2 linked regions of the Caenorhabditis elegans genome follow. The protein of the gene in region 1 purifies or fractionates together with the protein of each later gene. This does not show direct contact. Each region holds a gene or a part of one and is shown on either strand. Other genes may lie near its edges.

The links.
Region 2: the proteins of ard-1 (region 1) and ZK154.1 fractionate together in Caenorhabditis elegans (co-fractionation; one large-scale study listed by BioGRID). This does not show direct contact.

What each region holds. Positions count from the first base shown.
Region 1 is NC_003282.8:11,127,080-11,135,519, reverse strand, and holds ard-1 (3-hydroxyacyl-CoA dehydrogenase type-2), read right to left. Parts: upstream 4,242-8,440; 5' UTR 4,228-4,241; coding exon 4,204-4,227; intron 4,121-4,203; coding exon 3,962-4,120; intron 3,180-3,961; coding exon 3,015-3,179; intron 2,968-3,014; coding exon 2,830-2,967; intron 2,201-2,829; coding exon 2,060-2,200; intron 2,010-2,059; coding exon 1,860-2,009; 3' UTR 1,737-1,859; downstream 1-1,736. Other genes in the region: SWI/SNF chromatin remodeling complex core catalytic subunit swsn-4, read right to left, coding at 4,696-4,776, 4,825-5,310, 5,356-5,862, 5,907-7,556, 7,605-8,397.
Region 2 is NC_003284.9:7,776,138-7,782,921, reverse strand, and holds ZK154.1 (Apple domain-containing protein), read right to left. Parts: upstream 3,346-6,784; 5' UTR 3,297-3,345; coding exon 3,198-3,296; intron 3,129-3,197; coding exon 2,945-3,128; intron 2,844-2,944; coding exon 2,738-2,843; intron 2,689-2,737; coding exon 2,595-2,688; intron 2,549-2,594; coding exon 2,402-2,548; 3' UTR 2,315-2,401; downstream 1-2,314. Other genes in the region: ZK154.4 (uncharacterized protein), read left to right, coding at 512-641, 1,296-1,447, 1,506-1,580, 2,232-2,309, 5,274-5,354, 5,548-5,643; mec-7 (Tubulin beta-1 chain), read left to right, coding at 6,356-6,412, 6,468-6,595, 6,717-6,784.

The DNA.
Region 1 (8,440 bases):
CCACAAATTGATGAGAGCTGCGGAGACACGTGGTATCAGGTTGCCTCATTGCGGTTTGATCTACACAAAATGCGGGAATTTTTCCCCAGGAAAATGTGACGTAAGCACACTCTTTACCATGCAAAATCAGATGAAAAGTCTGCGTCTCTTCTCCCGCATTTTTCGAAGATCAAACCAAAATGGGACACTTTGACACTACGTGCGGAGATGCTGCCACAGTCTCCCCCGATAGAACAAATTACTGTATTACTTCTTAGTTTTAATGGCCTTTTTTTTTAATTCGAAAGACAATATGTAGGAGCTGATTTTTTTTACATTTCAAAATGTATTTTTAATTAAAATTACATATATCTCTTTCCGATACAATAAGCGCGACTGAGGATTCCGAATATCTGAAACGGGAGTAGCATATTTTTCCTAACGCTCACAGTAAAAGTTTCTGAAGTAAAACTTCCTTTATTTTTTGTACATAAAATGAGGAAGAAAGTTATTACAAACTTTCTAATTTTTCGGATATTTTTCTTCTCTCCACCACGATCAATTTTTTTTAAACGAATTTTTCCGAATTCTGCTGTTTACCGTATAGCCAATTCTTTTTTGAATTGATAAACGGCACAGAACAGATACTTGTAATTAAAGTGGTACAAGTACCAATGAAACCACAAGGCATCCGCTGTTTACCGTATAGCCAATTCTTTTTTGAATTGATAAACGGCACAGAACAGATACTTGCCATTAAATTGGTACAGTAAATTTATATTCCTGATAAGAAATGAATAAAATACCTGATTTTTACGAGGGCAACCTTCAGCTCGATGAAGAAAAATAAACAATAATCAAAAAATGAATAGATATTTTTAATCTAGCATTTATCTATGTAAGCCATCAATGTCACGCTGTAAAAAGTGAATCTTAACCAATTCTTTTTTGAATTGATAAAGTAGATAGTGGAGATAAAAAGAGTTGGCAACCAACAAGACATAAAAGGAAAATCAAACTGAATGGATCTATAAACCTATTTTAGTTTTAGGTTCCCCTCGCAATTCGGAAAATCAAAGCCTCGAAGAACTAAATTGATGAAAGTTTCACGATGAAACAGTTCTAAATGTCTAGTTTCTACAAACAGTGAGAAGGTCCAAGAGCAGGAGCAAGAAATCATAGAAATTATGAATATAGATCCCAGAGTACAAGGAGAGATGGAAAAGTTGAAAAATTGTCATAAGAGGAATTCATAAGCGCGAGAATAAAATCTCAGGTTACGGTAACTTTTGTAGGGGGCATTGTCTGTTCCTTCTTTTGAGTTTCGCGGCCGCCATTTCTATATGTGAACTGTATTGTGTGGAAGTGTAATTCAATTTACTCTACAAATCTCCAACTCAGTATCAAAAGAAAACAACTGAAATTTACAAGAACTACTAGAGAACAAACTACAATTGGGACCTATGTTTTTTTTTAATATTCATACATTTTTTCATATCTAGAATATACTAAATATAGAAATTAATTTTTAATTCGTAGTAAAATATCAGTAGTAAATGATATAATCCCTGCCGTGGTAGTAAGAATGTCTACTGTATAGCAAAATAGATACGAAGTAAAAGATCAAGTATTTAGTACAACAGTATTTGCCGACCATTTGTTGTTTAAGTTGTTATAAACTAATGTTACCTTCTGATTTCTGTTGAGCTCGGTTTCTAAGTTGCTTTGTTTTTACTGTTTCAAAATTTCATGATATATTAAAATCACTGTTTCATTAGAAATATGCGCAAAATTATCAAATTTCGAAATCTTGAAAAACAAACAAAAAAATGATCTAAAACTCTGTACTTAAAAAACAATCGGAATGAAGAGATATTAAATTAAGCCGGCATGCGGAGTGCTCCGTCAAATCGAATAGTTTCTCCGTTCAAATACTGATTTTCAATGATGTGCTGCACAAGAGCTCCGTACTCGTGTGGGTGTCCAAGTCTCGATGGATTTGGGATGAGTTGGGCCAGGAAGGATTTAACCTGAAAATTAAACTTGTTTAATGAATAGGAACGTCCTTTTCAGCCCTCACCTTTTCTGGAAGTGAAGAGAGAAGTGGAGTATCCATAAGTCCTGGAGCAATAGTGTTGAATCGGATACCATCGCCAGCAAAATCACGAGCCAATGGAAGAGTCATACCAACAATAGCGCCCTTAGAAGCAGAATAGGCAGACTGCAAAAATTTTTTAACTTATTTAAATTTGTTAAATTGGCATTGTATATTTTCAAAAATTTGGCCTGTTACATGTGTTATATGTGCCAAGGTTCACAGTTTTGTTCATTTGGTGCAGAAAATTAAGTTTATGAAATTTTAAATTCAGAACTGTACAGAAGAATCCAGGATTCACAATAAAATGCTTAGCATCTAGTTTCAAGTTTTTGCGAATTGATGATATGCTGATTTTGAAAAATGTTGGCAAAATTTTAGAATTTTAATTCGAATAAAAGTCATAAATTAGAAATTTTTCGCCAAAAAATACGGTACCCGGTCTCGCCACTTTTTTTTGTAAAACACAAACGGTATTTTAATTTCAAACTTTCTTTGCTGCAGAGCTTTCATCGATTTTTATAGTTTCACTCACAATTTGTTATTTTAGTTTTATTTTAGTTTTTACAGTAACAAATATATTTTTAACAAAAAAATGAAGACATGATAAAAATTCTTCAACGACAAAAGTTTGAATTCTTTAAAGGCGCATAGCCGTTTGTATTTAACAAAATTGTCGTGTCGAGACCGGGTACTGTAACTTTCATATAATACAAAAACCTCAAAATTTTGTGCCTCGAAATATTTATATTTACCTGTCCAGTTTGTCCATCAAAAGCTGCAACCGAAGCGGTATTAATTACAACTCCTCGTTGTCCATTGGCATCTTTCTCGTGTTCTCCCATTAAAGCAACTCCGTGTCGGATAACATTGAATGTTCCCAAAACATTAACCTAAATTGTTTTAAGTTATTTTGGTGGTTGAAATGACAGTAACTGACATCAATGGTCTGACGGATCTTCTCAAAATCAACGTGTTTCTTCTTTTGAACAGAGTAGAGCTTGAAAGCATACGCAATTCCGGCACAATTCACAAGAGCATCGAGGCGACCATATTCAGCTTGAACTTTGGCAAAAGCTGCTCTCACTTCTTCTTCGGATGTTACCTGAAATTTATGAAACGTTTGTTTTTTAATGAGAAAATACAATAATAAATTATGTTATTACGGGAGCACTAAATTCGGAGAATGCGTATAGAACCACATATTTGACGCGCAAAATATCTTGTAGCGAAAACTACAGTAGTTCTTTAAATGACTACTGTAGCTCTTGTATCAATTTCAGGGTTGGTTTTTTTCCAAATTAGTTAAAATCAATTTAATTATTTAATTTAAGAAAAAATGAAGGAAAATCTAATATCACTGTCACTATTCGAGAATAAATTCATTTCGAAAATCGATCCCGTAAATCGGCACAAGAGCTACAGTAGTCATTTAAACAATTACTGTAGTTTTCGCTACAAGATATTTTGCGCGTCAAATATGTTGCAAAATACGCATTCTCAGAATTTTGTGTTATCGTAATATTTGAAGCGTAAAACTTTGTAAAATACTAATGTATGTGCGCCTTTAAAAAGTACTGTAATTTTACAGTACTCTTAAAATTGAAAATGCTGTGGAATTTTTATCGACTTTTCGTAGTTTTTTATCATGATTTGTTGAATAAAATTGATGTGCTTTCAATTTTTAATTCTTAATTTAAAAAACGATGAGAATTTCATGAAAATTCAGTACTAACGAAATTTTGAAATAACAGTACTCTTTAAAGGCACACACTCGTTTCTATTTTACAAAAAAGGGCGTGTCGAGACAGAGATCGCAAAATTGGCGTCTGGGTAATATTTTACTTGAAGTTTCTCTTTACAAATGTAGCATGAAATCATTGTTACCGAAGCTGGTGTAAAGATTCCTCCGATCTCCTTCGCAACATCGGCTCCTTTTGACTGTGGAAGATCAAGAATAGCGACCTGTGCACCAGCCTTTGCCAAAACTTCGGCAGCACCCTTTCCCAGTCCAGACGCTCCGCCAGTGACGAGAGCAACGAGACCCTGAGAAGATAGAACGTAGGGTTTTCAGATAACACTTTCAATTTTGGAGCAAGTATTCAACCTTTTCAAGCTCTTAAACTCACCTTAGTGCTTCTGAGTGCCGACATTTGTTCCCGTTTACCTAAATCATAAGTGTGTTTGATTAAACATTCAAAATCTCGAACTAAGACGGAAAGTATTTAATAAAAGAAATCGCAACGAAATTCGAAAATAATTCTTGATAACAAAAGCATATTTCTCTCGAAATGTTTATAAAATTAAATTTTTCTTTAAAATAGTTGACGAATAGTATGGATTAAAAGTGGAATATGGGTTAAATACAATGCTTAATGCTTTTGTTTCAGGGATTTTTTCCTGCAAACGTGTAGCTTGCGACAGAAAAGAGAAGTAGAGATAAACAGTAAAAAAGCGATGAGAGATAACTGTGAAGCAGGAGAGATAAGAATGGGGGAACGAGGTGGGACATATTTATGGTGACAGCTCAAAAAATCAGAAATCATAGAACATGAAGAATACACAAACAGAGAATAAATGTTTATGGGGACATGAAAATATTTGGAGCAGACTAGTTTTGATCACTCGTCGTCTTCTTCTTCCTCATCCTCGTTCGAGAAGCGGCGAGTTGGACGAGACTTTCGACGGCTTGATGCTGGTTCCTGGAAATTAAATATTAGACTTAAAGACATTAAAAAAGTTCAAGTAACCTTCTTTTGTCCAATGATCTCCTCTTCTTCATCTTCTTCCATTGGGTCTTCACTATCTTCCGATTCCTTCTTCTTTTTCGGTGGTGGTGCACTTGCAGACGATGTTGATGGTTCATCATCTTTCTTAGCTTCCTCGGTCTTTACAGAAGACGAAGTTTCTTTTTTCTCGTCCTTTTTGGGGGTTACTTTAGTTGAAGCTTGTGCACGTTGAGCTAGCATAGCCGACTGCATATATTGAAGCATTAGGGCTTGATTTCCACCGGTCTGTGTCATCAATGCCTGTTGAAACTGCTGAGCCTGTGCGGGTGGAAGTGATTGCATATGTGTCATAAGCATTAACATTTGCTGAGCAGTTGCCTGTTGTGTCCGCTGAAGATCTGACACACTTGGAGTGCCACTGGTTGAGGGACGAGAAGATGAAGTTGATGGGGTTGAAGGTTCTTTCTTCTTGACTGGTTCTTCTACTGGCTTCGGTGGATTCATAAACTGAAAAAGTAATGTAAACTTCGAAATTTCAAAAATCAATCATACCTTATCGTATTGTTCCTTCCACAATTTTCCGATTGTTTCAGAGCTAACATAAATCTCACTGCCTTCTTCGTTGTATGTTTGAGCATTGTTCACAAGCAAATTCATATCATCATTCAATTCTTCCATAACCGTATAACGTCCTGTTTCGATCTTTTTGTTGATTCGATCGAAATCCATTGGTTTGGAAATCACTTGATAATAGTCCGGCAGTTCTTTACGAGTTGGAAGTGTCTGGAATACATCCGCGATGAGTTCTCCATCCTCATTTTTATATTCTAGAATAACATCAAGCATTTCATTGATTTTTTCTGCCAATTCTGGATCCGTCTTCTTCTTCTTGTGTTGTAGAACAACGTCATCCATAGAATCATCATTCTCGTCCAATCCAGCCATTTTACGTTTTCTTTGCTTTTTACGTTCAGCCACAGCTTGATTATTTTCATCCTCAACTTCCTCAACTTGTTTCATGAACTGTTCATCGGACAAAAGATCGGAAGAGTAGTCGACCTGAAAATGAATTAATATTGTAAATTCTCTTATATATTCCTTACCTCTCTTCTGCGTCTTCTCTGATTAGGAGTTTGATCAACAACTTCACGACCTTCCTCTCTGGCTCGTTCCATTTCCTCATAATCGAATGACAATTTGAGAATATCGTCTGGAATTTCATGTTCTTCTAGAAGACGGGGTTTACGGTGAAGTTGATTAGCTTCTTCACGACGACGATCAATATCCATCGATTGGAAGATATTAAATTCTTCCTCTGAGCGAGCAACCATCTGATTCACAGTTTCATCATCTGGAACTTCCTCTTCTTCTTCCTCTTCTCCGTCTGCTTGAATAATTTGTTCGAGCATTTGCTTTCTTTCAGCTCCAGTTGAACGTTGATCGAACTTTCCTGCTTGAATAACTTTCTCGTCGACATTCAACTTGTAGCGAGCAGCGGCAAGAATTTTCTCTTCAACAGAGTTAGCTGTGATGAGACGAAGAACTCGAACTTCTTTCTTTTGTCCGATACGATGTGCACGATCTTGAGCCTGCATATCCTGATGAGGATTCCAATCCGAATCAAAGATAATAACAGTATCAGCAGTTTGCAAATTGAGTCCAAGACCTCCAGCTCTTGTAGAAAGCATGAAAAGGAACAAATCACTGTTAGGAGCATTAAACTGTGTCAGCAGATCTCCACGCTCGTCTGGTTTAGTTGAACCGTCTAAACGGAGGTACGTGTATCTTCGGAAATTCAAAAAGTCTTCGAAAATGTTCATCATAGACGTCATCTGGAAGAACATCAGAATTCGATGACCTGTTGCCTTTAGTTTCGGTAGAATACGATCGAGAAGTTCCAACTTTCCAGCAACACGCATTAGATCGGTTCCATTGACTTCGTTGACCTTCCAGTATGCACGGCAGGAATCTTCAATATTAGGGAAAAGGAACGGGTGATTGCAAAGCTTGCGAAGATGCACGACAGTGTTCATCAACGAACGTGCTCCAGATGACATTTTAGCGTCGAGAAGCAATCCTTTCTGCATATGACGATAAATAACCTTTTGCAAAGCAGACTGGTCACACTTGATGACATACTCGGTCTTGTCAGGAAGCTGTGATTCTACTTCCTTTTTGAGACGTCTCAGCAAGAATGGACGAAGAACCTTGTGCAGTCTTCTGATGATGAGCATCGTCTCTTCTTGATTCAGTTCTACTTTCTCTCCTGTAGTCGCAAATGGAGCATTGAACCATTGTTCGAAAGTTCCACAAGATGAGAAGATCGATGGAAGTAAGAAGTTCAGCAGAGCCCATAGCTCAGGAAGTTTGTTCTGAAGTGGAGTACCAGTAAGAAGTAAACGATGCTGAGCATGGAAGAATCCGTTCAACATCAATGTCAATTTACAATTGTGATTCTTCAAACGATGTCCTTCGTCGATTATCATATACTTCCAACGGATTTTACCAAGCAGTGCTTTCTCTTTGATCACATATTCATATGTTGTCATCAAAACGTTGAACGCTCCTTTTCTGATTTGTCCTTCAACACGACGACGAGCATCTTTAGTTCCTTTATAGATGATAGTGGTTACAGATGGAGCCCATTTAGCAAATTCGTTCTGCCAATTGGACAACGTGGAGAGCGGTACGATGACAAGATATGGTCCATTGTTTTGTTTGACTTCCATCAAATACGTCACCAACGAGATTGTCTGAAAATTAAAAATTGATTAATATTTCCTCATTTCCCAAATTCCTACCTGAATAGTTTTTCCTAGACCCATTTCGTCGGCGAGGATACCGTTCAGATTGTTGTTGTATAAGGAGACCATCCATTCCAATCCCTTAATCTGATACGGTTTCAGCAGAAGATTCGGATCACCACCACCCATCGTTGTGTGTTGCTTGACAACCTTTTCTTTGATTTTGTGAGCAGTTGCATAGTAATCAGCCATTTGCTTTTTCGTTTTCTGATCATATTCATCCTCTTCGTTACGTGCCTTCTCGAGGATCATCTTAGCTTTTGTCTCTTCATCCATTCCAGCGTACTGATCATCCTTCTCTTCTTCTGGTTCCACTGGAGCCTCTTCCTCTTCCTCTTCTTCGTCATCACTAAGCTGATCACGTGGAACTATCTCATATTCTGGATGAGTTTCAAGCCAAAACTCAATTTCTTCAGTCTTTGGAGCTTGATCTCCAGTAAGCGCTTTTCCAGTGCTTCTCTCCCGAACGTGAACCCTGGCTTCCTCATCCATTTGATTTCCTTTTTCAATTTTCTTATCTTCCTTCTTCTTTTTCTTTTCGGTATTTTGATGTTGACGAACAAGTGAGCACAGAGAGTCGACGTACTCATCGGTTTGTTGAAGAAGATACACAAGACGTTGATCTTTCTTCTCATCAAGAAGAGCACGATATCCTTCTTCATCTTCTTGCATCAGTTTTTGCATACGAAGTTTTTCATTTCGAATCTCGTCCTTCTTGCGTTCACGTTCATTGTTTTGATGATATGTCATGACTGCCTTGCGAGACTTTGCCATTTTCAGAAGATTGTTTCTGAAAATAATTTAATTAGTAGGAGAACTTTCTAAATACAATC
Region 2 (6,784 bases), on another chromosome or scaffold:
CCAAAAGTTCAGTATTTGCTGATGGCTAAGCCTGCAATAATTAGAGTTTGAATCTGTTGTGAGTATATTAGTTACTCTTCCTCCTTTTCCTTTAACTCTCGGTTTTTGCAATTTTTGTTAAGTTTATACACCTGTGTGTTCTAAAATTGAACAAAATCTCACATACTCCTTCAAATAAACAATTGGTTTTCTGTGATGACAACTCCAAATCAATAACTGATGTGAGCCTCACCCAACAGCCTCATGACTACTCGTTATCCATCTACCTCTCCCGTTTGGTGTTACTAGTACACTGTGAGAGTATTTGCGGTCAATGTGCCCCATTTGACGACCATTGTCTGCGTCTCTTCTTTCTTGCCATTGTATCACTGGCGTTTTTTCACCGTTTCTGCTATTGGGCACTGAGAGTTCTTGTGGACTCTCACGGTTTTCCACAATATTTGTCGTTTCCACTTGCGCTTCTTCTCCTCTTCCATTTTCCATGGAATAGATACAATCTATGCGAGTTTAGATGTCAATTGTTCGGGCAGTATACGTGTCGACGATGCGTCTCCTTCAATTGATTATTGCTTTTATTCGGAATTTGTGCAATGGGAATCGCAACAAAAAGCGCATGGATGTGGATGACTTGCCGTTTGAGGGTAAGCTTTTCATTAAAAATTTTGAAAATAAAAACTGAAGTGTTAACGTTGAAAATGTTGCCAAAAGTGGCAAAGCTTCTAATGTGGTGCAGGAATAAAAGAAGATAAATACAAAGAGCTCTTAAAATTGAATTTTCTTTTATGGGTTGCTGTCTTCCGATACCGTTTGTTACTTGAAGTCTTGACATCAAGACCAGCCACAAAAAGAATTGCAATTTTTCACATATGCTTTTCTTTTTTTTTGCTATTAAGATTTTAAATCAAAAAGCCGTTATTGAATGTGATTTTAAGCGTTGTCAATATTTTTGGCGCTACAGTTCAAGAGGTAAAGCTTTACCAGCATACGAAGAAAACATTGCTGCCTGGGTGTCAGAACAAAATTCAATAGGAGACCCCCTTAAACTCCTGTTTTTTTTAAATAATTGTATACACCAAGTATAGTAAGGATGTTCAATTTGTGTGAAAAGTATATGGAGCGATTGAAATAAACTGGGTTTTTTTCCGGGTTGAGCAAAGTTATTGTTTTATTTTTTCTTTTTTTTCTCTGTTTTGCATAGTAGAAACAAGTAGAATATATATTTTTCATTTTAAAATCAAACCGCAGCCTAAAAGGTCAGGCTAAAAGAAAAGCACCACTTTTATAAAGTTTTTCAGTGGTCGTCGACAACGGTCGTACAGAAAGGAAAGGTGAAGAACGAGCATCACTGCTTCAAAATGAAGTCACCGATTCGTGGGGAGACGATGACTGGGATAAAAAGGAAGAAGTGAACGACAAAATTGAGCAATGGAGAAACAGTAATGCTCAGGTGAATTCAAAAGCAGGCACAATACATACAATCTATACCGTGTTTTATTTAATTTCAGAAACCGGACACCCACACCAAACCAGATGACGACTTGTTTAGCACACTAGAGCCAACTATTACCAGCGCCAGAAAAGTATGTATTTTAAAGAAAAAAAACGTTAGTCTCAATTATATTGATGAAAAATCAATTCAATAAAATTAAAAATGTGAGAATAATAAATTCCACACGAATACTAAAATTGAATGTGAAACAGCATGCTAACTAGTTTGTAATATTTTCAATATTAAATCAAAATTTTGCCATTTGTTGCTTCGCTCTTGTCACTTCTCAATAAAGTCTACCAAATTGTATTGTAGCAATTGTTTTTCAGAACTCGTTAAACGTTATAGTTTAAATAGTATATTTTACACTTTTTTTGGAACATTTGATAATTATCAACTTTGTTTAAAACTTCATCTAGACAGAAACTAAAAACAAAAAATTCAAGGCAGAAGATTTCTAGTAATTTTGCAAACCACGTTTAATTAGAACTTGTCTAGTTCTCTTTTTTATAAATTCCGCATTTTAAATGTTTTCGTTTGGTAGTTTGAATCATAATCCCAGCAAGAGGAAAACATGTAGCATTCAATTTTTTCCCTTGCAAATTAGTCTCTGAAAATACAAACCAACTGAACTGAAGAAGTATTTGTACTGTGAAAATTGCAACGCAAAATAATTGTTTTTACAATGCATTCTGATATTAAAAATACTTTTTCCAAACTGGGAAAATTAATTTCTTTCCAGGTTGTCTTGGCCCCACGAGGCGGGTTCCGTGATACGGCTCCCAAGAAAAGCAGATTTGACTTTAACGAAGCAAATGTGGTGAGTTTGGGTTGGTTTATATATTTATTAGGATGTCAAAACAAACAATGTTTATACATAAATAAGAGGTACGCTGTAGATGAGATAACTAGTTAATTGAGGAGCTTCTTGTTGAGAAAATCGTCTTCATTTTTCACTTCCGTCGGTGCTTCTGTCGTTGTGACGCCGTTCTCATTAGCAGCCTTATCAAGCTTTCCCTTGATTACATTGAATCTCTTCTTTTCGAATTCACTCATCTCCTGTAACATGGAATAGTAAGAACAGTTAACTATATTAATGAATTACATCAATTTTGCAATGATCCCTTTCTGATTGATATTGGCAAACTTCAATTGTTACATCAACACGGGAGCTTCCGTCGCGTTCCATTTTAACGTCACTAAAAAGTGATTGTTATAGAAAATGCTAGTTAACTAGAGAATGCTTACCGAATGTAGTGGTTTGGTGCCAACACCGGATTGGTTCTGATGGATGGACCAAGGACGGAAATGGATTCGGTGTCTCTCCAGATACACTTTTCACGACCGCTGCTGTCTGCAAAACGCAACATTTTGGTCGTGTTAATCTTGCGATGGCAGCTAGTTTTTGAGTTTCTCGCCGATGTGAGTCTTAGTCACTTGTTACATTATCCTCACCTGTCTCCACTCTAGTAGCCAATGAAGCGCAACACAAAACCATCAAGGATTTCGAGTTGAGGAGAAGGCCAGAAACGAAAGTGCGACGTCCGCGGAAAGTGGAGAACGACGTATGTTCATTACATTGCTTGCGCCATTCGCATTGCACCGCACACGTATATGGGATGAATTTGGCACAGATCGCCTAAATTGCTGGCTTTTAGAAGAGTTTGATAATTAGAAAATTCTTAGAAGTATGAAAATTCTGACTTACATTTGTGGACTCGTATGAGAATAATTTCTGGCCAACATAACATTGAACTGCCGAATAGACAACAGTAGGAAGAAGACACGCTATTACCAATTTCAGCATGGTTCTGAAAAAAGCTTTTGAAATATGTGGTTATCTTGAATCCGATGGCAATTGAAAGAAGAAAAAAATGCAAACAGAATGGCAGAATGGGACGGGTTTGTAAATGAAATGAAGTTGGAAAAAGGGGGGGGGGGGGTGGAGATTCGTGAGATTCAAATCTTGCAATCTTTCACAAAAGGTGAATTCGTGAATTTGTGAAATAAAGGCGTGAATGATAGGGGAAAAGTGATTGTTATCCCGGTTTGGGTGTCTGGCCGGACGGGCATTCTTCAAACATCAAGCGATAAGACTAGTTTCCAGCTTCAGTGATATAGAACTGATTATACTACTAACGCGCGTTAGCTACTGTTTAGTTTGGCTAAGGTCGAGGTCAAGGAAAACTGGATCTTTAATTGCATCTTGGGACAAATACTTTTTTGTCCAGTGAGCCTGATTGTGTTAATATAGTTTAATAAAATTTTAGTGTAATGGCATCCGAGCAGATTTCACGCGCAGAAAAATATGAAGTGAATGGCGGATTATGAAGAAGTGAAGGGCTTCTCTGTGAACCTTAGAACCTGTTTCCGATGGCCGCGAGTTGTGCCCGCCCCTCATCATATCTGAATTTAACCTTTCATGGCCGCCCGTTTCGTAAACGTAAACATGCGCAGCAAAAGATAAGGATAGAAAGTGAATACAGATTCAAAAATGTGAAATCGAATGGCAAGTATCTTATCGTATAGTATTTTTCGTTTAACGAGGAACTAACAAGCCACCAAAAAAGCGGTATTTTTTATCTGGCATTCAGCTGGGGGTGGAGAACGTCATGAAATTACGTTAGGTACGCAACATGTATGACCATTTTACACGGTTGTACTATAGATGTTCTAAGAAAATTTGTATTGTAATATGTCATGAAAAATTCAGATAAGATAATTTGATGAACATACATTTCACGACGTTGAGCTTTTGATACATGGCTTTCAATTAAAGTTAAGCGCAAATTGCGTTCCAAACAGTATAGTAAATTTCAAAAAAATACCAAATTGAGGATTACATTCTAATTGAGAAAACAAGTTATTTAGTTTTTTATTCGATAAAGAAACGAAACAATTGTTCATGACGCTGCAAATGTTTGGAATGAAGTTAATTTTTGTTTTTTCTAATGCAACCAACTGCTCTCATTATTATTTCTTCTAACCGTATTGCACCCTACTACTTGACTTTTAACAGTTATCCTTCTGCTAACTTTAAATTAAAACCTGAAACAGATTGAACAATCTGTTTCAGGTTTCAAAAGCATTTTTTCATGAACGGATTAGTGCTGATATGTGAACAATCATAAACGGTACAATTTGATTTACTGTGGGCTTTTGAAGAGAGGAGATATACAAAAAAACATTGCTAGGAAGAAATCACCAATTCGATTTACAATATATATATATGGTCAACCTAAACGTAAAACATTGAATATTATAAAATCAAAATTAATTCACGATGGACCGTTTTTGAACATAACTTTTACAAGCTTCATCATGACAATGATAATATGACGATCTTATGATTTTGCTTTCACAGTGTGCGAGGAAACGAGTAAACAGAATAACGAAAGAAGAACAATATACTCGTTCTGCTAATCAGTGTAGTCGGTATTCGATTGTTCTCCTCCCCTAATTTTTTCCACGGAGAGTCCTGTTGAGAATGGATTCTTCAGCTAGCTTCAACAGCTTCTCCTTCTTCTTCTTGTCTTGTGTCTGTTTCTACTTCTCTATCTAGTTGTTCGTCAACTTTTTATGAATAGCCGCCAATCGGTCGGGACGGCGGCGCAAATTGCGGGAAAGAGATGCCGGGGACGCGCTTGACTCTTTTTTTTTCTCGCGCGTTCACAAGATTTCTGGGCGATGGAAGAGGAGACAAAAATTCTAATGACAAAAGGTGTCGCTGTGGTGATGCAGGAAAAAGACAAGAAAACCTGATTGCAATCCATTTTTTTTTCAGGGAGCTACGCCGACACTTGGAGATATCGATGATGATCTTCTCGGATGGGGTGATGACGATTTGGATAGCACCTTGAAAGAGGTATGTACTTTAGAAAATAGTTTTGAAAAAATATTACCTATTATCAAAAAAAATTCCGTTCGTCGTTTAGCCAATGATGTATGAAATTTTAAGCAAAGAAATTGATACTCAAGACAGCTCGCTGATTAGAAAAAAAAAACAAAAATTATGTAGTAATCTAGAAATGTAAACCTGTCATTTCTGTGTATTTCAGCACCGCGAAGAGCACCATAAACAGCTACAACAAGAGCACGAACGTCGGCTCCAACAGAAAAAGCTGCAAAACGCTGGTACTCACCACATGCTCTGATAATTGCCATTTCCTTCGATTTCTGACTTTCAATTGTGATATGATAACCTCAAAATCTCCATTCAAAATGAAAACTCTTAAATTTAAGAGCTTTCAACACCCCGCACTTTCCCACCTCATCGTTTTTCCCTTCTATCTTATCAATTTTTTGTATTTTGTGTCAGTTTGCTATATCCTCATCACCTTTTTTACCGTTTAATCTCTCTATAGTATTGTTCGGGTGTTTCAAGATGAAACGTTTTGTGTGTAGCATTTTTGAAACACAGCGCGAAAAATGCAGAAACTATCATCCACAATGCATTAAGTGCACTCATTGTGATGACTCCTAACCCCCTCGCCCCACCAGTTGTCTCTTCACAAATTCATGGCACAATTCAAAAATGGCTTTTTGTGTTGGATCTTGATCTCGTCTCTTTCCTTCTTCTTTCGTTTCTCTCGGACCACTCATTATTCGAATGCCATGCATTTGTTGATGATGCGCAGCGATGGTCGCACACACTACAACAGATATGATGGTGGCTGTGCGTGGTGCAGAGCTCATGAATAAGTGATGGGGCACCGAGATGTGACTCCTCCCATTATTCGTCTTGAGTCGCATCTTTTGTCTTGGTCCGTTGTCAGTCGAGCCTCAAGGCAGCCGTTCCGCCAGTGATCGCCTGCTAAGAAGTTGTAGGTGTAGAGGAAGAAACGTCGGGTCCAAATTTCAAGCAACATGCGCGAGATCGTTCATATTCAAGCCGGACAATGCGGTAATCAAATCGGTTCGAAGGTTAGTATTTTCAGTTATAATGTTCCTAGTTGTGCTTTATGCCAAGCAATTTCAGTTCTGGGAGGTAATATCCGATGAACACGGCATTGACCCATCTGGCCAGTATGTGGGAGACTCTGATCTTCAACTCGAAAGAATCAACGTCTACTATAATGAGGCCGGAAGCAACAAATATGTTCCAAGGTATAGATATAGTTTGTTTTGTCATAATTTTTCATGAAATTATTTTTTGATCTAGACGTTTTCCATGATTTTTGACATATACCGATTTTGTCCACCGTTTACCTAACTGTATGTTTTTCAGAGCTGTCCTTGTTGACTTGGAGCCAGGAACCATGGATTCTGTCCGTTCTGGACCATTCGGACAACTTT